Bombyx mori: one gene and its partner. The protein of the gene in region 1 purifies or fractionates together with the protein of each later gene. This does not show direct contact. Links are inferred from orthologs where the notes say so. Each region holds a gene or a part of one and is shown in the gene's direction. Other genes may lie near its edges.

Region 1 (11,518 bases):
CGATCCGATAATAGAATCGACGAAGCAATGCTCTTGCTAGGGTTAGTGTTAGCAATTCTCTCAGGTTGAGTCCGTGAGCTCACCTACCGGTCCGCGCGAACTTGGAATAGCCCCTTAGGCTACCAACGATTAGGTAGGAAAATAAATAACAACCACACGTTGCATTGAGGCATCCATTTAACATCAAGTGGGCTCATCTGCCAATCTACAGAATATAGGTACATTGAATTAGACTCATATGTGTGTCATTTCATTATTATCTGTATTACAGGTAAACTTTTAGTCGAAAAGCAAATCGTGGTCAATTATAATTTGTCAGAAAGAAAATTTGTCACGAATCTGCTGTGCGAGACGATAGACTATGCAGCCCAGCGCGACTTCTCGGCGTTTAAGCTAGCTTGTTTACTTACAACCTACGTCACTGTTCATAGTTACTTCAAGTGGTATTATTGGCAAGCCCCAGTCTCTGTTTGGATGTATTTCAAAGAACTTATGATACGGCTTACAATTGAGGTGATGAACAAATTTATTTTCAAACACTTTCTTTTCGAAGTCATATTTTCTTGAGCGCGATGATGACAGAAGTGATTTCTGGTGCCCATTAAATACGCCACTTACAAAGTATCACCTCTATCACAATAAGTTCTTAAGGTTTTCTTTAATTCTAGTAGATCTAGTAGCCTACGACCAACTCAGTCTTGTGTCTACCGTTTCTCTTATAATAAACGATCTCTTTTTTTATCTCAAAGAAATAACTTTTTTTTCCTACCTAAGCTGGCAGCCTAGGGAGGCTATTCCAGCGGAACCTTAACTAGTAGGTGAGCTCACGGGGCTCAAACCTGACGATGATGCTAACACGAACCCTAGCAAGAGTCATGCTTCGCAGAATCTACCACTGGATCGGAAACGCGACCCACTGAGAAGATCCGGTGAGAAACTCAGTGGGCTGTGTCTGAGAGTTAATTTACTCGTCGAGCCCTTCGTCGCAAGCGACGGGTTCGACGAGCACGGTGACCGGTGCTTGAAGTACCTAGAAGCACCGTTAGTGGATCGGGAGGATCCGAGATGACGTGTTTGGGGCGACGTCGACTGCTTTCCATTCTTTCCGCAGGATCGGAAATGTAGTTACCGGCGGCCACGACGAGAGGGTGCTCGTGTCGTGCCGCTTTATCGAAGTGAACCAAGAAATCACAGTACTTCCGTATACGTATTGTAAACACGTGTTGAAGATGAACCGACTAACCAGTGTCTTAACAACTCGCGTCCAAACCTCGGATGAGAGAGAACTTAACTAAAGCGGTTGTGCAAGGCGAACTCGTACCCGCCGGACAAGTCACTGGGCCATGACTGGTGTGGATGCGTTCATCCATTCCGAAAGGGTTGGCGGTGATAAGCCCACCGTGGCTGGTACAATATCCTGCCTATTTCCGCCACGAATAATAATAATATAACTCTTTATTTGACACCACATGTACAGAATAAGCATATAACACAAATAATAGACGGTGACAATAATTGGGGGCCTTATCGCTGAAAGCGATCTCTTCTAGGAAACCTTGCAGGGAGAGGAATACCTAAGCAAATTAGCACAGATGGTGCTATATCTTAATAAACTTACATAAAAAATATATATTTATATACACACATGAAAAATTAATACAATATAAGATAGACTTAAATAGACATTAAATACTAAAAATATGCAAGTAAATACAAAATAAGTAGCAACTTATACAGTTATATCGTAGGAGCCATATTGCACAAGCAAGGTAGTGTGATTTTATTCTGAACTTGAAAATTTTCGGGCGAGGACAATTGAAGATATAGATCTTTTAGTATTAATCAGTTCCGGTAGGCGTCAACACTAAACGTCTTTGGCAAATCAATGGCGTTCTATCTATATAATCTAAGACGTCGGAGCCAGGAGTTAACAAAAAAAAAATTTGATCTTATTATTTTACTGAATTTCCAGGATTCACCAGATGGAGAAGCAATATTTGAGCCAGACGAATGCTACGACATACTGTCACACTTCCACACCATGTACATTAAGAATCTACCACTGATACATGTTCTTACTTTTGGTGTTCGAAGACTCAAGTTTTTGTGGCCTTTCAAACGGAAATAAGTTTGTTTGAAAATTAAAAACTTCAGTTCTCTTGGTAGATTCTGATTTATTAAAGCTCTTTTATTTAAATCAGCAAATATCAAATCAAAGAAATAAAGAATAATTTTAGTTCTTAAATAATACATTACTGACTAATAACACTTTTAAGTTCATTTTTTAAATGCTTCGGAAACTTATTTTTCTTCCTTTTCCGGACTTTTCCTTCAGTCACATTTTCTTTTTTTGTTCCTTGTCTGCTTGGTTTATTTTTCTTTTTCTTACAAGACAAAGGATTAGGGTTATGGGGCTTTTTCTTCCTAATAGGGACATTCAGTTCTTCAACCTTTTCTTCAACACCTAATTTCTTTTTCATCTGCTTCAAAGTTTCACTCTGATTCTCAGTGATAAAAATATGTTCATTGGTTTCCAGAGCTTGACCTGCTTTGTCAAAGCTCACACTACTTGGTTTCTCTAATGTTGGTGACTTGTTATGTAGATATAGCAGAGGAACTCCAGGTTTTTCCCTTAATTTGGATTGCAGATCTCGATCCTGGGTAGCTAAGATATAATGCTTTTCATTCTTCTTACCAATCATGGACATTATGCACTTAGATCCAGCCACCGGTTCTTTGTGCCCACATTCATGAATACCAAACTGTTTTAATATTGTGAGAGCTCCATGTGTTTTCTTTGCTAATTTTTCTGTTTCTATAATTATACATCTCGTTGTCAGTAGTTTAGCCTGGCTGTTTAGGTACTTGGGAATTTGCTCTCTGATGTTAATATGCTCCTGAAATGAATAATTGAAAATAGTTTAATAGGCTTAATCATACCCCTTTGGAAAATGTTTAAAAGTGCTTTTTTATGCAATTTTTATTGATGGGTAGGGTAGGTGCTTGAGAGGCAACTTTAGTTAATTGGTAACAAAACTTTAAACACAGCAATATGTACAGCACCCACACTGACTTTTACCAGTGGTAGGACCTCTTGTGAGTCTGCGCGGGTAGGTACCACCGCCCTGCCTATTTCTGCCGTGAAGCAGTAATGCATTTCGATCTGAAGGGTAGGACAGCCATTATAACTATACTGAGATCTTAGAACTTATATCTCGAGGTGGGTGGCGCATCTGCATTGTAGATGTCTTATGGGCTCCAGTAACCGCTTAACACCAGGTGGGCTGTGAGCTCTTCCACCCATCTAAGCAATAAAAAATTTATAAATAAAACTGAGAAATGAGGCAGAAACAGGTAAAATATCTACTGAGTATGCCTGCTCAATTACAAATTTATTTCATTTTTATTTTCATTCCACCATATTATTCGAACTTATGTCATTCATAGACAAATACAAGTATTACCCAGCTATAGCAAATTATTCAATTGCTACAAATGTCATTTTATTTGAGGTATTTTACCTAGTTTTGATTACTGCTCGCTGGTTCAGGGAAATTCTCCTGCCAACGCATGCTCTGCTCTTTTAGAGTGAGATGAGAGTCGGCGCTGTCTGCCTCGGGGTCCGGGAGCTCATCCAGCGGAACTTGAATGTCCTCGTGAGGAAGTTGTTCCGCACGCCAGTCCTCATCAACTATGTCTATTAGGCGACCGTTACGGCGACACTTACTGTCCATACTGTATAACATTTATGCAATATTAAATAATAATTAGGAGAAATCGTGAGCATTTTCGGAGCAGTAATCAAAACAAGTCTTCTCTTTTACGAATTTCAATAGCCTAAAGGGTTATCAAATATACAATTATCGGTAGACAAATTAATCGAGAAGACTTACTTTGAATGCAGCGAAACAAAATGTACCATCGATAAGGACTTGGTACGGCTGATGAAATCCATAATTGTTGTAATAAAACTTTAGATATTTCTGTACTTTTTTGTAACGTGTTATTTTCATTTTTTATTACGAACCTCGCTTTCGTGAATTGTCTTTTTTTTAGGTGTTTACTTTAGTGTTCAATCTATGATTAAGTTATGATCTTGTAATGTAAATATATTTAATGCATTCACTTTGACAATTGTGTTGTTTTATTGTACATAAATTACTTTATTTATTTTTTATGTTAAGCTGTGATTGTGCCGCCGTCAGTGTAACCAGATTTTATTTGACGAATCTATTGCTTGTGGAGGTTAAAATCTACTGAATTCTACCAAAAGTGAACCAGAAATAATAAAAAAAGTATAATGGAACTTTTATTTTACTGTCGTGTTACAATGTGAAAACATGAATGTTTCCTTGATTAAATAATAAAATAATAAAAAGAAACCACAATTAATTAAATAGATCCATGATAATTTTTTTAAATTAAATTCGAAAAAAAAAGAAATTTAAACTTAAACTTAAAATTCTTCATCTTTATGTTAGGTAACATTTTCTTAAAGTTGTTTTGAGCCCATTAACTTGATAATACTTTTGTTAGGATCAAATGTGTGACATCAACTGTCGTAACCCCTCTTTTCCATGCATGATTGCAGCAACATCCTTCGTATTAAATCGATTTCGATCTTGATTTTTAATCCTATTAATATCAGAAATTATTCTTTCTACTTTGACGTTGGACAAAGGTAGTATCATCATTTGCTTCACAAATCGGGACAAATTGCCATACATTGGTTTGCTATTTGCATCACAGATTTGGCCGACTTCACCCCAAAACCTATCCACCATAAAAGTTTGACACGTCGAACTAGAAGTTGACAATAAATTAGACACAGAAACATCTAATTTTGATACCCTATATTCTTTGTCATAATTTGCATGTTTTCTGTTGCAACTACAAGTATATCGTGACGAATGGGACATCGCGATATCCTTGTGTATATTTATATTTAATTTTAAGCTCCATTATAAAAATTCTCAATGAAGGAATTCCCACTGGTCTATCACACTATGCTTAAAGAATGAAAATTAAATAGTTACAATTCATTCAATGAAAGGGCGAATACCCCGAATTTATCTGTTATGCCAAAAAAGTTTTGGAATAACTACTAAATTCTGTTGCTAGTGCCTCAAAATCTACCAAAAAAGTAGAAATCTACTAAATCTGGTCACGCTGGCCGCCGTACCTCTCAAATAAATAGTGTTTAATCTCTGGCCGTACCTACCTACGCAAGTTTTTTTTAAAGGGTTTTATGACCTGGTGACTAAGACCTTTAGGTCAAGTCGTATTTTAATTTATATTCTTATTTTTATGAAAAATGATAATATGGAGTGAAATGAAATGAAAATGATTAATTTGAGAAATTAATCAACCGAGATGAAAAGATTAGCTAAAATGAGATGAGATGACTGAGACAGACTTTTTCAGTGGACTTCTTGTAGGATCCCGAGAGGTTACGTCCAGTGGCTTTGTTTTATTTTCCCACATTTGTGAACTTTCACACATATTAAACAGTTAACAAACCACCGTTATTACACATTTAAACTTGAAGAAACACTAAATAGACAAAATAAAACAAATCACACAACTTCACTCCTTGCCTTCGAAATTGTGTTTAAATTTTCAGAGAAAATAAGAAAATCTCATTAGATAATGGGCTGCAAATGTCTTGTTTCCTTTATAAAAGTATGAAAAAGTGACATTGATTGAATGTCATAGTGTGCCATAGACAATTTCTTGTGAAACATCTTGCTCGCTCTCTCGCTTCCATGTTTGTTCGTGGTCATTTTGGATTTCTGTTCTAGATTTTCCAGTTTTACATTTACGATTAATGATTATATTTGTTTAAGTGTGTAATTAATGATAATTTCGGTGTCACGGCGACTTCGTGAAGATCTGTCGCCCAAGAAAAAGTTCAGAACGGAGCTACAATAACAGGGAGGGTACGTCTTTCACATCCTTTTAATCAAGTAAATGCGTCATTTTATCGAATATTGTTGAAAGTGTGCACGAAACTTAAAGTCTTCGGGTAATTGTGTGGTGGTAAAGTCGGTAATAATTGCATTGTCTCGGTGATGATCCCATTAGAGTGATTTCGTGACGTTCAGCTGATTTTAGGAGGGCGTTGATTTAATAATTTTGTTAACTGTTAATAGGAAACACTGCGATACGAACAGAGACAGTTAGTGGTTAGTCATAACAACAGACACGTTACGGGGTTCGTATCCGATAAAAATATTAAAATGTACACATTTTTTTGTAATACGTGAAATGTGCCGAGCGCCTTACTGATAAGTGTCAGTATAGGATCTTTTGTTTCTTTGTGATTTCGCGACGATTAAATGTTCGAGATAACGTTGTTTACCGTTTTCATCCGATTTTCAACTTCGCCGTCATTGTGGCAAAGAGGTTTTATTGAATTGAAGAAAAAAATACAATGGCACAATAATTCCTTGTTCATGATCAGTGAATGCTTTTTTCTCGCTCATTAGTTGTTGATGGTCTCGAATTGTGTTTTTGTTGGTTTGTTAGTTGGTGAGTTTTTAATTGTTTTATTTTCTTTGTTAATGCTTAGGCTATCATCACTATTATGTCTATTAAGAAAGAGAAAGTGAGGCCTTCATTATCTGTAATTCAATTAACTCAGTCATATTAGCAAATTGATAAAGATATGAATGGATAGTAGAAATGTAAAATTGCATTGTTCAAAATGAAAATCATTTTCTATTAATCATTACAAGTATTAGTCTGAAAAATAGTTAATTTACTAAATTTATATTTATGTTCAAAGAAAAGTCAACGCACAAAGTGTAAGGGAAGTATTCTCAAAAACAAAGACATTTTGTAGAGTTGATGTTTCCCAAGGAGGCAAAGTAACTGATTTTTTTGTGCAATGTTGCAATATTAACAATCAATAAAAAAACCAGCTGATGTGTGTGGTCCATTGTTTTGTGTCATGAGGGTCAGGGGAATTTCTGACTTTGCTGTCGATTTATGCTACCATAATCACAAGTTACATTTTATTCAGTTAGATTGGTCTTACGAGTAGAATGCTTAATGATCTCAACATCACTCAGATTTGTTTCCTGTGTGCTATAAGTTATCTTTGTTTAAGATATTTAATATAACTCATCTGTCATCAATAAATACATTTTTTCTGTGATCACATTTTGTGTATGGTCTAAGAAGCTCTTTTGATTTAACTACCCTATTTATTTAAAATTATGGGTTAATGATCAGCATGAGTAGGTGGTTCTGTAACCGAAAAAGCACCATTGAGTTTTCAAGTCTTGTGTGAATTTGTATATATTTGTAGTGTAAAATATACACGTGCAATGTTGCATTTCTAAGTGTACAGGGATGACGACACCAGCCAGTACTTGTAGCTACTCTTTACTGACTGTTCTTTATCTCTCATAGAGACATATAATGACCAGACACTGATTATGCAGTAATTTTCACCTTGTAGCATAGATTGTGGAATTATGGACCTAGACTGGTGCACCATAGCAAAATTTAAATTTAATGTTAAGCTATTATATTTTTATTGTTACATTAGTGACAGTGTGAGTGCATAATTATTACATTTACTGTGATTTGTAGATAGATCTGCTTGGCTGTGTCCATGATTAATGGTGACTACTTACCATAAAGTAGATCATATGCTTGTCTGCCTACAAATAAATAAAAGCTGCTGGTCTATAAGTTTTATTACGTTTTATTGTTTAATTAAAACGCACTCATCTTTCAACACATTTTTTTATTATTTATTGAATGCAAAAATCAGCAATTACAGATCATTTAAGTTCGACGGAGTCTTAAGCTCTATCACCTAATGTGTATTACTGTCATAATTATGCACATATACAGATAAAAAAAAATGCACAAAAATATTCGATGTCATTGTGGCCTAGTGAATACAAAGCTCCATGTCTTCATATCAAGTGTTGTGATTATGCCGGTGTACAAATGTCGCTTGCAGGTACCAATTTTGAGAGATTCCATTAAAATACGTGCTTAACTCAGGCTCACAATTGACTTTCACAATAAAGGGATCATGAAATACTCAAGTCTTGAGATGGCTGTCTGCATTCACATGTATAGGTAACAACTTAAAGTCAGATGGGAGACCGTTCACTCGCCGTTCAAACAATAATAAAAAAAAAGAAAAATTAAAAACATGCTAAAACGGAGATTCTAATCTATAAAAAAATTCTTAAAACTTAGGTGTTATAATTCTCTTATCATTGTGAATGATATGATACCAAAAAGAGCTATTAACCTAAATTGAAATAAACATGAAGATGAACTGAATTGTCTGTATTTTATTGCAAAAAACTCTATGTTAACAAATTCAACAACACTAAGTCTAGTTTTCATTTTATCGATGAATTGAATGTAAAAAAAACTTGTTCCACTAACCATAATACTAGGTAACGTGCTTAATGTTGCTATTGGTATTGAAAATAAAAATTAGCTGATTTTTGTATTAAATTAAGTTAGCTGTCTGGTGGACTGCTCTAAGTTGTTACTACATCAGAGTACGCAATGCTGTGGAGCATATTGAACATGGTACTTTTAAGTTAATGAACATACCAGATGTTCAAGGTATTTAAATGAGAGCTGATAATACAACATCGATTAATAACAAAAAATAAGAAACTAAACCACAAGATATACTAGTATAGATTACATACTGTACATATATATTGAACACATAATTTTGGAGAATACAGAATGGATGGGAAAATATTAAATTTAACAAAGTTTAAGCCAATCAATTTTATCACAGTGAAAATTTAGTCTGGGCATTGTTCGGTTTAGTCAAACCAGCTACAAAAAGAAAACATTTCTAATATAATCACTAAGGTATTCCTCTATGACACATTATCTGTGTATCAACATGTTTGTCTGTAACCAGGGGCTTCTAACCTTGAAATAATAGGCTTATGTAATTTGAGCTAAAATAATTCTAATTCAGCTGTCTGGTTGGTATAATTTTTGTGTTGTTTTTATCTTTTTGATTAGATATTGAAGTTAATTTGATTTTAATGAGTTATTTAGTTAAAATATTATCAAGTTATAAATATTTAACATTTATATCAATAAGGAAGTGTAATAAGAAAATTGAATTAGGAATTGTTTGCTATATATATATAGTCCAGTTCATTAATTCGTTCGCCTTATTATTTTCGGAGTCATAGACGACAATACGCGTTATTATATTATATCTAGGGGTGAAATGTTATTTCGATTAAGCTACATTTTTGCAACTTTACAGAAAAAACATTAAAGTTTTAAATTTTGAAAAAAATATCTTCATAAAAAAACACTTCTTCAGCTATTTTAATGGGGTAAACTTATGTAATTGAAGTTAAATTAAAAACATCGAATTGTTGATACTAATACTAAATAAGGCGGACCTTTAATTAGACCAAAGATAAATGTCGCGTAATAAGCGAAATGTCGCTTATACCAAATAGTCTTTCACTCCTTGATTATATGTATGCTTATTGTTTAAAAAATCAATTATTTTTTCAACATGTATGTAATATAATAATAAATTTTGGGCCGGTTTGTCAAACTCAACGAACATTCGATGCTAATTGATATATTGAGAAGTTTCCTAGATTTTTTCAATATGTAGGCTTATACTTGAAAATGGACTCTTCACTATATGATAAGGTGTAATATCTCAAGAGGTGACGTTCGCAACTAATTATACTAGGTATTAAACAGAGAGGTGTTTATATTTTACTTTGTTGCAATGAAAATATTTTTAGAACCATTGTGTTTTGCAACCAGATGAAATGAAAAAAAAAACGACACTAAAAAGAGACATATATATAGGACTTAGAATGCGGGCTGATGGCATACTATATAGATAAGTTTTCACTTCTACTCGGAAATGAATCTTTGAACTGAAATGAGTAACAATATACATCTAATATACAGATGTACCTATATGTTTGTCTCTTCTCATTGTAGGCGATGAGATAAAATATGTACTTCGGAAATTTTCACTTTTATACCGTGTGAATTACACGTAGGTACACGTTTTTGTTTGGACTTGCAAGTGTTAGTGGTTATTGTGTTGCTTCAACAAACAAGGTGATGGCCTCGCATTTTTTTATTGCTTAGAAGGGTGGACGATCTCACAGCCCACCTGATGTTAAGTGGTTACTGGAGCCCATAGACATCTACAATGTAAATGCGTCACCCACCTTGAGATATAAGCTCTTAGGTCTCAGTTACAACGGCTGCCCCACCCTTCAAACCGAAATGCATTACTGCTTGACGGAAAATAGGAGGGGTGGTGATACCTACCCGTGCGGACTCACGAGAGGTCCTACCACCAGACTCACAAGAGGTCCTACCAGTTAATTATCAGATCGTATAATTGGATAATAATAAAATAGAGGTTCCTTACAGGATATGGCGACAAACAGGACCGGAGCCGCACAGAGGCCCAATGGCGCTCCACAGACAAAAGTCTGCCAGTTCAAGCTGGTGTTGTTGGGCGAGTCTGCGGTAGGCAAGTCCTCGCTGGTGCTCCGATTCGTCAAGGGACAGTTCCACGAGTACCAGGAGAGCACCATCGGGGCTGCGTTCCTCACCCAGGCCATTCGATTCGACGACACCACCGTTAAATTCGAGATCTGGGATACAGCTGGACAGGAGAGGTCAGTTGAGAGAGAGCATGCTAAAAATAATGACGTCATACTTCTACTTATCTCGGCACCGGTCTTACGCAACCGCCACTCAAATTGTTATGGTCTACCCACTAATATATTGTTAAAAAGCTGCCGAGCGTGAGCACACAACGCAAAACACGTTATAAAAAAAATAACCTTTACTCTGAGTCAGTCGAATAAAAATTGAAAACAATTGAAAACCGCGTTGTATAAAATTAATTCGACGATGCAAATTCCATCCTGAGATACGGAGTCAAAGTCTAAATTACGTTGCTGCACGGGTAATCCTCTTATCGGTCTAACAACTGCTAATTTCTTATCCGATCCAGGCGTTGGGAAAACGCAAAGTCGTCATTGCCCGAAACCGCCGATGTCTTGTCGGTTCTCGCAGATCCACTTTCGATGCTTTTAGACTCCTCAAGCACCGGTCACCGTCCTCGTCGATCGTTTCGATTACGACAAAGAGTTCGACGAGCGAATTAACCCATAGACACAGCCCACTGAGTTCCTCGTCGGATCTTCTCAGTGGGTCGCGATTCAGATCCGGTGGTAGATTCTGCGAGGCACTGCTCATGCTAAGTGTAGCGTAAGCTAGTGTTAGCAAATTCACTCAGTTGAGCCCGTGAGCTCACTCACCTGTCCGGACGTAGCTGAAATAGCCCCTTAGGCTACCGGTGATAAAGAAGGGGGAAAATTGCTGGATTGGTATTGATATATTATTGTCCTATTGCCCTATAATGCCCTGTAATAGTAACAAAGGATGACTCGATCGTTGTAAAAATGTGTGTAGCCTATCTACTGGTGGTACGGTGAGCCCGGCTGTGTAG
Region 2 (11,677 bases), on another chromosome or scaffold:
ATGACAAAAACGTTACCAGGGTTGCCACCTTTTTTGCAGATAAAGTACATTGGTTTATCAGTGATCGGAAGGTGTAGATTGATTTGATATACTTGCGTCAAGATATTATTATATGGACATGCCATTTTATCCAATATGATAATTTTTAAAATTGAAAAAAAAATTTTTAATCCTCGCCGGATACGATGTCTATGTTTATGCGATAAAGTAACAAAAAGCCCAGTCTAAGTTTTGTCTCATACTTACAAACATACTTACAAAAAATAAAATACTGATTTCTTTCACCTTTAGCACTGGTAGCGTAGATTAATATTATTAATACGTTTAATATTATTAAACACAGATTCGTGCTAATTTCAAAATTCCCGAACAAATATCACAGTAAATATGAAGTTCCGGTATTTTGGAGGCATATCCATATTATCTTCTATGTTTGACGTAAACGACCTTAAATCAATCTACCTACTCCGACCTCTAGTTATTATAGATAGGGAAAAAAGTACATAGTATTAAAATAAAGTACAATTATTTTTTATTATTATTATGTTTAAATACATATTTTTATTAGAATTGAACAAATTAAACAAGAAATGTTGACAATTAATGACAGTGACATTGTTGACATTTGAGGTTAAATTGCGTTCAGAAATATTTGTTAAAAAACGAGTGCGGTGATGTGGCGTTCGCGAGTGGCGACATCGATTGAGCAATCCATGTACATAGTTCGCTTAACGAAAAAATACATATGACTAAACTTTTCAAAATCCCAAAGAAACCAAATCATGCCAAATTAAAGTCTTGTTCACATAAAGTATAGAGGACAATTAACTGAAATAACGTACAAAACTTTGTTATAAAGTACGGGTGGCAACCCTAAACGTAACGTAAGTTTTTATAGTGACTACTGCAGAAGTATCAATCAAGATAAGAACTCACAACACACAAATATGTTGAATCTCTAGTTACGCAGCGCTAACGACAGAGAACTGGGAGCTGTCGGCGAGGGCGTACCGTCGATACACCTACCTCAACCCTAACTCGTTCGAGGCTTGGAACAACCTCGCCAAAGTCTACGTGAAACAGGGAGACAAGTATCGAGCGTACAGAGCCCTCATGGAAGCTCTCAGATTCAATTACGACAACTGGAAGGTAGAAAATTTATTTACGAGCTTCTAACGTAATTTCTTTTTTTAATATTAATTTAAATACGAATTACATATTGACAAAATGATGAAATATTCCAAGATCGTTTAGATATTTTTAAGTGAACACTTGAGTTAAAAAGACACAAATAATATAAATAAACAATTCATTTTCTTGGTCTAACCTTAAACCAAACACTCATTGGCTTCGGGTTGCTTAACAACGCCATCTGCTGAAGTAGCTTTACTGTTTTTTTTTTTTTTTTTTTAAAGCAGTTCGCTGCTCTCAGTTAAGAAAAATAGTATTATTATTCGTCAATAGATGTCGGGAAGAGTCATAAAGTTGATTATCGATAAAGTTGATTATTGAAATCACGAATAAAACAACATTTTCTAAAAAATAAATCGTTGCTAGATCGATTTAACGCCCCCGAAATCTCCTGTAAGATCTAAGATTAAACAATACTAAAATCACAAATTGGTAGTGTAGTAAGTATCTATAAGACAGTTCTGTGGCGAAGCAGTAAAATAAATCATTTGACAGGACTTTACTCTTCGAGCTCAAATGAAGCCTATGTAAACGACTTCATGGTCCAGACGGCTGGCCGATCCTTCGGCTGGTCGTAGGACCGTCGAGGCGATTCGCCCGGTTCTTGTGAATTGGGTGAATCGTGACAGAGGACGCCTCACTTTCCGGCTCACGCAGGTGATCACTGGGCATGGTTGCTTCGGTGAGTTCCTGCACCGGATCGGAGCCAAGCTGACGGCAGAGTGCCACCATTGTGGTTGCGACTTGGAAACGGCGGAGCACACGCTCGTCGCCTGCCCCGCATGGGAGGGGTGGCGCCGTGTCCTCGTCGCAAAAATAGGAAACGACTTGTCGTTGCCGGGTGTTGTGGCATCAATGCTCGGTGACGACGAGTCGTGGAAGGCGATGCTCGACTTCTGCGAGTGCACCATCTCGCAGAAGGAGGCGGCGGGGCGCGTGCGAGACGCGCAGGCCCGCCGCCGTCGAGCGGGGGCCAGGGAGGCGGATTTCGCCCAAGCCCTGGCCCTCTAAGTGTTTCGGGTCTCTCTCACATGTCGGCCTAGGGACCGGCGAAGGGGACCTAAGAAGACGACGTGCAAGGTGCTCTGCACGCGTTTTATGCAAGAGCGTCCGGGTGATGGAAGGCCGGCTATCCTCAACCCACGCTGGTTCTGACCCAGCGGGGTATTCCGAGGGTAGACCATTCTAACCGGCGCCATCTAGGCGGGCTTCGGATAGCCTGCCGACCGAGAGGACTGGTGGTCGTGGCGCCAACGACTGCCAGTCCGGCGTCCCGAGGGGGAGGGTGATGGGAGAGATGTGCTCCGCACTAAACGCTTCACTTTCCCCCCTTTGCCTTTTCATGAGTTCTGTCTCATGCGAGGTTTGGATGCTGGTTGTTGAGCGACAGGAGGTTTTAGTCGGGTCGACTCCGACATGCCCCGCCCTCCATCCCCAGTGGAGGGCGGAAGTCCGGTGATTTCCTCCTGACAAAAAAAATCGACATTTTATTTTTGGAGCTTATTAATTTTGTTTATTTAAATTATCTATTTATACATAATATTTTTGAATAATTTATTTTTATTAAAGAATTTCGTTGACATTTTTAGCTGTGGGATAATGTAATTATTGTGAGTATGGACACTCTACACTTTGAGGACGTGATTCGCGGCTGTCACAGACTTTTGGATTTACAGAATAAATTTGAAGATGTAGAAGTACTGACATTGTTGGTTCGGGCCATTTTAAATGATACCAAAGACGCCGATGGAAATGGTGCTGCCAGGTGAGGTTAAATTCTACCAAATTCGTGGAAATTGACATGACAAACCCCTTTATTGTAATAAATTAGTCTAGTGTCATAGTTTTAATTGTTTAAAATGAATCTACAAAATTTGTCTTAGTTGATCTCGTTTTCATTAATGATGGTCGAATTTAAAACAAAAAGGGCTAGAAGAATATCGATTTTAGTTCATACAATACGCTATTTTTTTAGGTTAAGGAAAAGAGTACTAGAGTTATTCGGGAGGATAACTGCTGTGCACCACAATAAACCTGACATATGGATACTGTATTCCGATATTAGTCCCACGTTTTTGTTGAAGGCACAAAGACTCATGAAAGCGTACCGGGCGTACACACAGGTAATAATAAAAAAAAAACAAATTTTAAATTATTATACGACGTCATATTCCTTTATTGGGATAGTCGGTCGCGAAAACAATTTAAATGCCTGTTCAATTATAAAAAAATATACCTGGCTGCCGGAATTGAACACCGGCACAGTTGTGTCGTTCGATCCAAATAACCGGGCGTCTTATCCTTTAGACCATGAAGACGACGACCGTAATGACAGTCGTTGCTATGGTACTTTACAAATCAGAGTAAAATAAATTAAACTCTTTATCTCTAGAAAATGTAGCGTATTTAATTCTTCTACATTAGATAATTTATAGCGGATGAAACCGCTGGCGTGTCTAGTTTGTATGTAGACACCAGTTTTTAAAGATAACATTTTTAATTTTGATAATAAAATTTTATTACATTTAGTCATGTTGTTTTTACGCCATTATCGATCCAAGAGATACATATTTAAATTACTATTTCGAGTTTAAGACCTTAGCGAATATACATAAACAAAATTTCAATGTTTATATATAGTTATATATACAGAGAGATATACAGTTCTGTTGCAATTTTGTAATAGTAATATTTCTTTTTAATGATTGTTGACTAGAACGGCAACTGGCCCAACGACCCAGAGGCTTGTAAAAAGGTTATCGACCTAGCGTTATCTGTCCTCGAAACGAGTCTAAAGGCGAGACAGGAATGCGAGGACAAGGACCGGCTCCAAGCTGACCAGCAACTGTCGTCGGCTCGGCTGACGGGGCAAGCGGTGCTCAGGGCTGCCGAGAAACATAACTGGCCAGAAACACAAGACACGCTCGCGGAGCTGAGAGAAACCTTCAATGTTGTCACTGAATATATAAAATCTGTTATGTGAACTGTAGTTTCTGTTGTTCCCGTCCCCCCGATCCACTGACGGTGCTTCTAGGTACTTCAAGCACTGGTCACCGTTCTCGTCGAACCCGTCGCTTGCGACGAAGGGCTCGACGAGTAAATTAACTCTCAGACACAGCCCACTGAGTTTCTCGCCGGATCTTCTCAGTGGGTCGCGTTTCCGATCCGGTGGTAGATTCTGCGAAGCACGGCTCTTGCTAGGGTTCGTGTTAGCAACGTCGTCAGGTTTGAGCCCCGTGAGCTCACCTACTAGTTACGGTTACGCTGGAATAGCCTCTCAAGGATACCAGCTTAGGTAGGAAAAAAAAAAGAAAGTTCCCGAATACGCAATAAGCGACAAACTTAACATAAACAAATGTTCATTTATTGAACGTAAATACGTAACGTAACACTAAGCTAGCTGACGGACATACCCCCACCGTCCGTTCCCTTGACTGAAACACGCGTCTAACTCAATTTTAATTACATAAAGTACATTTTTTTGATCGCATGCTAACACCTGGTTCTAACACACCCTGTGAATCCCTAGACGTACAAGTGTTCGCACCCAATTAACTCAAATTCAATTCAAAATTAAAAGTAATTTATTTCAACTTAGATATCAGTAATAAAATAAATAAATAAATATTTACTAACAATCACGCCACGTTAACTGGTCCCGTGCTAAGTTCGTAAAGAACTTGTATTACAGGTACCAGATAACGGAAATAAATTTAAGATTTTTATTATACACATACATATATTTAATAAACATCCATAACCCTGGAAAAGAAATTTTATATTTATCATACAAATATCCTCCCGTGGCAGGTTTCGAACCCGCGACCCCCTTGTGTAGTGACCATGTCACTTACCACTACACCAGACGGCCGTTGTATAACAGTTGTCAGTATAACACACTTGTTGAATGTCAAAATATGAATAACAATGTTAACTCTACCACTTGTTCATTCATCGTTGCCCAGGCCTAATTTTCCAAATTCCAAAAAAAAATACAAAAAATTAAACGTGTTTATAGTGGCAGCGGCAAAAATAAAGATAAAGCTGCAATGATTGATTCGTTCATCTAATCAGTTCAAATTCGATGGATTTACAGTATTTTTATATAGACGTGAATAGAACATTAATACATCTAAAGTGCTTACATTAAAAACCTCTAAAATTTGTCAAAGTTCTCAAGAGAGCGAAACGGTACTGTACGTCTTTAGTGTCTTGTGCTCTACAGAGTATAGAGTCGGCATTCAGTGAGTACTGCTGCCTTCTCTGATTCTTTTTTTTTTGTCCTAACTATGCTGATAGCCCTGAGAGGCTATTTCAACTTCTCCTTGACGTGTAGATGAGCTCACGGGGCTCAAACCGGGAGTGTTGCTAACACTGGTCCTAGCAAGAGCAGCGCTTCGCGGAATCTACCATCGGATCGGAAACGTGATCCGGCGAGAAACTCAGTGGGCTCTGTCTATGACGTTAATTCACTCGTCGAGCCCTTCCACGGTTTCGACTAGGACGGTGACCGGATTCCTGATTCTCTGGCCCCTTGACTCCGTACAGGAAGGGCCGCTCAGGTCAGGCCCTTGTGTTTTATACCGCATGGTCACTGAGGAATGTTCTAATAAACTCTTCGTCATCATTTTTCCTCATAGCCCGCAGCTAACCAGAGTTCCTTTGTGGATCTACTTAATTTTTGGAGGTGGGTAGATGGACGGATTGCTTGTATCCCGAAGGCTTCAGAACGGATGGGCGTACACGGGCAGCCAGGAACGGTGGGATATACTAATAACTGACCGATAGCCCCCGAAGGAAACCTAATAGCTCGAGAGCAGCTGTTTCGCAACCTCAACACCGAATTTCAACTCTAGGGTAAACTATTAGCGTTAAAGCTAGAAGCGACGAACATGGCTTCCGAGTGACTCCCCTCTACGATTTTTTCTGATCACTGACATTTTTTTATTTGTTGGAGTGTATTTAATAAAGCCCATAGATTATACACTTAATATATACGAATAAAGCCTATAAAAAAAAACACAGTGTGGTGTTGAATTAATGAAACGCACATGTATGGCTCAGCTGACGTTTGACACTTACTTCCTCTTGACAGTAATCACAATTACTGTGTGATTAATGTCTAGTGTTCACCTTGGTGATGATTAATAATTGCAGTTAATTTATAATGCTAAATTGGTGAGAAGTGATATTAATAATGGCAACGGCCAACGACGATGAAATTCTTGAGGGCTTCTTGTGTCCCATATGTAAAGCAGATCTCAAATCCGCCTCACAACTAACAAATCATTTCGAAAGTCTTCATCAAGAAGATCAAGATGTTTTGAAATCATTAAAAGACATTTTTGGTAAAGCAAAGACAATAATACTGAATAATGACAATGCTGATTTGAAAGAGACATTCGCGCGTGCTTTGAAGTTTAATTACCAAGATTATTATGATGAAGAGCAGGTGATCGGAGTATCACGTAGTTCAACCGATTACTTTAAGGGTGTGAGGTTTTCCAGGCTTGAAAGATACGCTACGGAGACTAATAAGCTGTTGATTCGGTTGGATAAACTCATTTGTAACATGCCAAGTGACCCTCATCAAAGAAAAATTCATGAGCAAGATGTATGTATTAAATAATTATGTTTAATAGTTAACCTGGTAACATTTAACTAACTAAAATAATATAAATGCCATTGGAATGTTAAAATAATTTCTCATTTTATTGTATATGTATTTTTCCAGGCTGTGCCATGGTTAGATGGTTCATCAGTTAATCTGTGTCCCAACTGTGCGAAACCCTTTCACTTGACACGCAGGCAACATCATTGTCGACTATGTGGCTCCATACTATGTCATGACTGCTCTGTTTTTCTAGATATTGAAGTAGCTAGTAAGTTACACATATATTATTTTAAATATTCTTCAATTATGTTATTAATATAGTAATTAACCAAAAGCAATGACCTTATGCAACTCTCCAGTATTCTAAAAAGGCACCTAACTCTTGATTGAACAGGGAAAACAAAATAATATATATTTTAGTTTAGTATCTTGTATTATTGCAGTGTAGAATTACAACTCCGATTATCTTGCCTGTAATGAGTGTATGATTTTACATTTCAGAAACTATTATAAATCCATCAGCTCCAAAACCAGTATCAAATCCGGAACTAAAGCTAACAGAGAAGAATGGATTACGTCTCTGTGAACATTGTTACAATTTGATCAAACTGCGGAAACAAGTGCAAGAAACAAGAAACACAAAGACTGAACTCGTAACGGCCTATGAAGAGATGAGGAGTCTTATGGAGCAAGCCAAACCAGCTGTTGCTATGTATGAAAAGGTATTTATAAGAATTTGTGACTACTTGTCTTGTAGTGTCAATAGAAAATATAAAAAAAAAAGAAAAAACAGTAACTACATATTAAGTACATTAAATTTCTTCTTACCAATTTTGTAAAAAATTTATTATTTTCAAACGGTACTGTTATATTCAAATATTATTGTTTTTACTTGTGTAATGTATTAGTTTGGGTATTACTAAGTGCGGATGGCTTAAAATAGATACACAATGAACTGACATGTTACCCGTTTAGTTTGCTTAGGTTCATTCATTCATTCATTCATCATCAGCGACTATTGTCATCCACTGTCGGACATCTCCCTATCCATACCACTGAGCCCCGTGTTTGGCTCTCCTCATCCACCTCTTCCGGCCAACACTCGGAGATCATTGCATGTGCTTAGGTTCATAATTCACTAAATAAAATAATAAAACAACAGCTTAAGAACAGTTTCTACATACATTACAGATGTGCCAAAGTCTCTTTGATGGTGAAACAACCTACAATATGTCTGATGTGAATGCAATGCGAGGTCGTATAGGGAAGTTGGCTGAAGGCATAGACTTGCTGAGTAAGCAGATAGTCAGCTTCCCGGCAGAGCCTGGCACAAGGCAAGCCAGGCTACAGAATGCTATAAGGCAAGCTGCAGGACATTATATTAAGGTAAATAAAAATGCTTCAATATTTATTTAAAGTGAAACTTTAAATTTTTAACTTTAAATAAATATTTACCCTCAACTAGTTTTTAGAGATTTCTAATGTAGTCATGTCGGAATCATGATTTAGACAGCGACTTTGTATTGCTTACTTCTATAACCATCAGCTTGGCTGTAATAAAAAATGTTTAGAACAAAAGCCTGGTAATATTCTTAATCTTCCCATGTACCTAACACGAATTAAAACCATAAAATAATTATTTTGTTCCTTAATTTTGGACTGAAATCTTGTCAAATTTGGATTTCTGAAATTTAGAGTAGATGGCTCGCTGGAGTCATGTTCTTACTGACTACGAAAAACATTTCAACACATCTAATAATAAAAGTACTGGATACTGATTGTAGATAATAAAGAGAGAAAAAAAGAAGAAAATATATTTCTACGTTTATTGCCTTGACATTCATTTTCAAATAACGTTCTGATTTCAGGAAGACTTACTGTCCTTAAGGAAGCTCCCGACCGAAGCTCAGATCGAGGAGGTGCGTCGTCAGCGCTACGAGCGTGCCGAGAAACAAATACAAATGGAGCGGGAACGTATGGAGCGCGAGCGGCAGCGGCGGGAGGGTGCGCCCGGCGCCGCCCCACCCCCCGCCCTGACCCCCGCCGGCGCCCAGCACGACGACGACGACGACAACCCGCTGCTAGAGCAGATGAATATCATCAGGGGGTATATAAAAGAGGCGAGACAGGAACTGAGATTTGAAGAGGTGGGTCTTGTAAATAACTATAATCTATTTATTTATATACGTAGCCAGGAATAGTGGAGCTGCGGGGTACTGGATTCGTATTTGCGTCGCCCATGTTGGGGGGGGGGGTTGCCATAATCACCACGCTGGGCATGCGGGTTGGCGATCGAAGTATGCTGTTATGATACTCTGAGAACGCTGCTACCCATTCTCTGGATAATCCCTTAGTCGCATCTTACGGCATCCACGGGAGGAGAAAGGGAGGTGTTATTTTTTTTCGAGGCCGACACCACACGGCCGTATTATATGACCTATTGAGGTTCGCGGGGATCAATGGATGCATTGTGTGGATGTTTTGTCCTGTTTAAACGGATCTGAAAATTAGGCTAAAGTAATGAGGTTATTATGTCAAGGATCGATGATGATACATCGTGCAAAATGTTAAATTTATTTAGACGTCTTGAAGTTTTTGAAATTCACATTGAAAGATTCCGTTACACAGACATATACAAGTAAAGTGTCCGATCACCGTCATCGCCGAACCTTCGACCTTAGCATAAGTAGGATAAAAAAAAATAAACCTAATAAAAGAGCGTCAAATCAGGACAAATTACGTACATCTTTTAATAATAAGAGTATTTTATGAGGGTACCGCATACATTAGTTGTCATTAAAAAATATATAGGTATATATATAATATTAGAATCTTAATTTTCTTCCTTCTAATTTGATTTTGTTTATTTTAACTTATCATGGTCACATTACACTTATAAAGATTCTTTTACTGTCGAAAGGGAGTAAGTAATTGTAAATTATTAACAGGTGGCGATTTTAGAAGCAAACCTAAAGGAATTGAAGAAGGAATACAAATTACAGAAGCTCTCGAGCAGATCCTAGTCATTCCAGATATAACTATATCTAGTATATTGTTACGTTTATATTGTATAGCGTTTAATGATAACTTATTTAGCCCTTAAAACATTATTATTTAATTCTAGGCTTCGATCACTATTTATAAATATTATACTGTGCATAAAAAAATTATGATTCTAAAACAGGACTTGTTTTTATTTAGAATAGAATAAGATTGACCTTTTACCTGCGATACATTATATTATCTGTACATTGCCAATTATACCTGTAGTTATGGCCGCGCCGATCCCCGGCAACGCCTATGTGCGAAACCCACGAAGCGTCTCCGTATTTTTAAGAATCTTCATGTTTCAATGTTTTTTTTTATTATTTGTTAATTTTGACCAGTTACCACTTAACACCAGGTGGGCTGTGTGCTCGTCCACCCATCAAAGCAAAAAAAAATAAAAAAAATAAGAATCTATAAGAGCATGTTTGGCAGTCTTTTTAATGTGGCTCATAAGAAGATCACGATAAGAAGATCCTAGGTCATATATAAGCGCTATCTACTTTCTTTAATGATTACTTTATACTGTATTGAAGAAACTTGACGAAATAAATTGGAAACAAAACAGCATAATTGTTATTTGATGCGAACGTGCCATAATTGTATTTAATCACAGTTCGACTTGGTTGTGAAAAATATGGGCTAGTCATTGTTGCCAGATTTGAAATATACCAAATTTCAATATTTGATACTACAAATCAAGTATATTTATCTATTAATAACAATTTAAAAATCAATAGATTCATTAAAATCGGCACTCATTCGTGAACAGATTCACAAACGCAAAAAATGAAAATGTGATTTGGGTATAATTATTATTACAACCATAGAATTGAACATGAACTTGTGAACGTTGGTTACAGACGGTGTATAAGGTTGTGGCAAAACCGATGAGGTCAGCGCAGTAACTAATATATTAAAGTGATGTCAAGCAGTGTAAGCTAAGTTGGTGATTTTGATAGATAGGTATATTCTCTTGTAGTTTAATTGTGGTATAAACAAGAATGAGCTTTAGATTTAAAAAAAACCTATACTAATATATAAATCTACACTGCTTTTTACGGATGTTCCGTTATAACTACTGAACCAAGCATCCGATTGAATTGAAACTTGGTATTCATGTAGAAAATACATGTAGTTAATGGATAGGCTAATATTTATATGAGTGTTGGACTCCCTACACCAGTTGCGGGGGCGTTAATGATGAGAGTCTTTGTGGGGGTGAGAAATAATAATGTTAATTTTAAATGCCCAGCGAAGCGGACGGTAACAGCTAGTAATAAAATAATTTTAATAGCTTCATGATTGCTACTTATAAATATCACATGTACAAATTTTATTCAAATTGATTTCGTTAATTATTTCGCATACTTCTCTCTAAATTTTTCCAATTTTTCGAGTTGCTTCAAGAGCTGTGGTCTCGTGCAAAGTGCTTTTTTGATCGCCTCGTCTAACATCTTTCTTTGGTAAAACGGTGGTATCGGAGTGTCTTCCAAATGGAATGTGTGAATGCGTCCAGACGTCTCACCAACGAAGACATTATCTCCCGAAGCGGCAAATTTAATGTACGTCAGAACAACGTTATTAGGAAAAGAGTATTCCGCACACGGCATATGAGTTTTCCTTCGCAGATCCCAAATGGAAAGTATATTTCCGCTTACTGATAAAATCACCGTGGAGTTGATTGGACAGAATGCGATACCGTATACTGCAGCGGGACATGTTAAGGTCATAATGACGTCATCCATGCCTTCTATCCACAATCTTATAGCACCGTCTGCGCCGCAAGACACCAACAACGAACTCATAAAAGGGGAGTACTCCATG

The links.
Region 2: the proteins of small GTP binding protein RAB5 (region 1) and rabenosyn-5 purify together in Drosophila melanogaster (affinity purification with western blotting; 3 studies listed by BioGRID, with this or other methods). This does not show direct contact. The link is inferred for Bombyx mori from reciprocal best matches to the Drosophila melanogaster genes Rab5 and Rbsn-5.

What each region holds. Positions count from the first base shown.
Region 1 is NC_085110.1:1,320,508-1,332,025, reverse strand, and holds the start of small GTP binding protein RAB5, read left to right. Parts: upstream 1-5,760; 5' UTR 5,761-5,939; exon of another isoform or gene 5,940-6,214; intron 6,215-6,253; exon of another isoform or gene 6,254-6,531; intron 6,532-10,428; 5' UTR 10,429-10,431; coding exon 10,432-10,679; intron 10,680-11,518. Other genes in the region: uncharacterized protein LOC119628424, read left to right, coding at 272-513, 1,973-2,128; rRNA-processing protein UTP23 homolog, read right to left, coding at 2,253-2,897, 3,894-4,013.
Region 2 is NC_085116.1:3,147,603-3,159,279, forward strand, and holds rabenosyn-5, read left to right. Parts: upstream 1-6,220; 5' UTR 6,221-6,388; coding exon 6,389-6,805; intron 6,806-6,925; coding exon 6,926-7,073; intron 7,074-7,306; coding exon 7,307-7,527; intron 7,528-7,996; coding exon 7,997-8,191; intron 8,192-8,673; coding exon 8,674-8,952; intron 8,953-9,753; coding exon 9,754-9,828; 3' UTR 9,829-9,989; downstream 9,990-11,677. Other genes in the region: tetratricopeptide repeat protein 27, read left to right, coding at 963-1,149, 2,781-2,956, 3,167-3,314, 3,908-4,174; dynein axonemal intermediate chain 4, read right to left, coding at 11,209-11,677.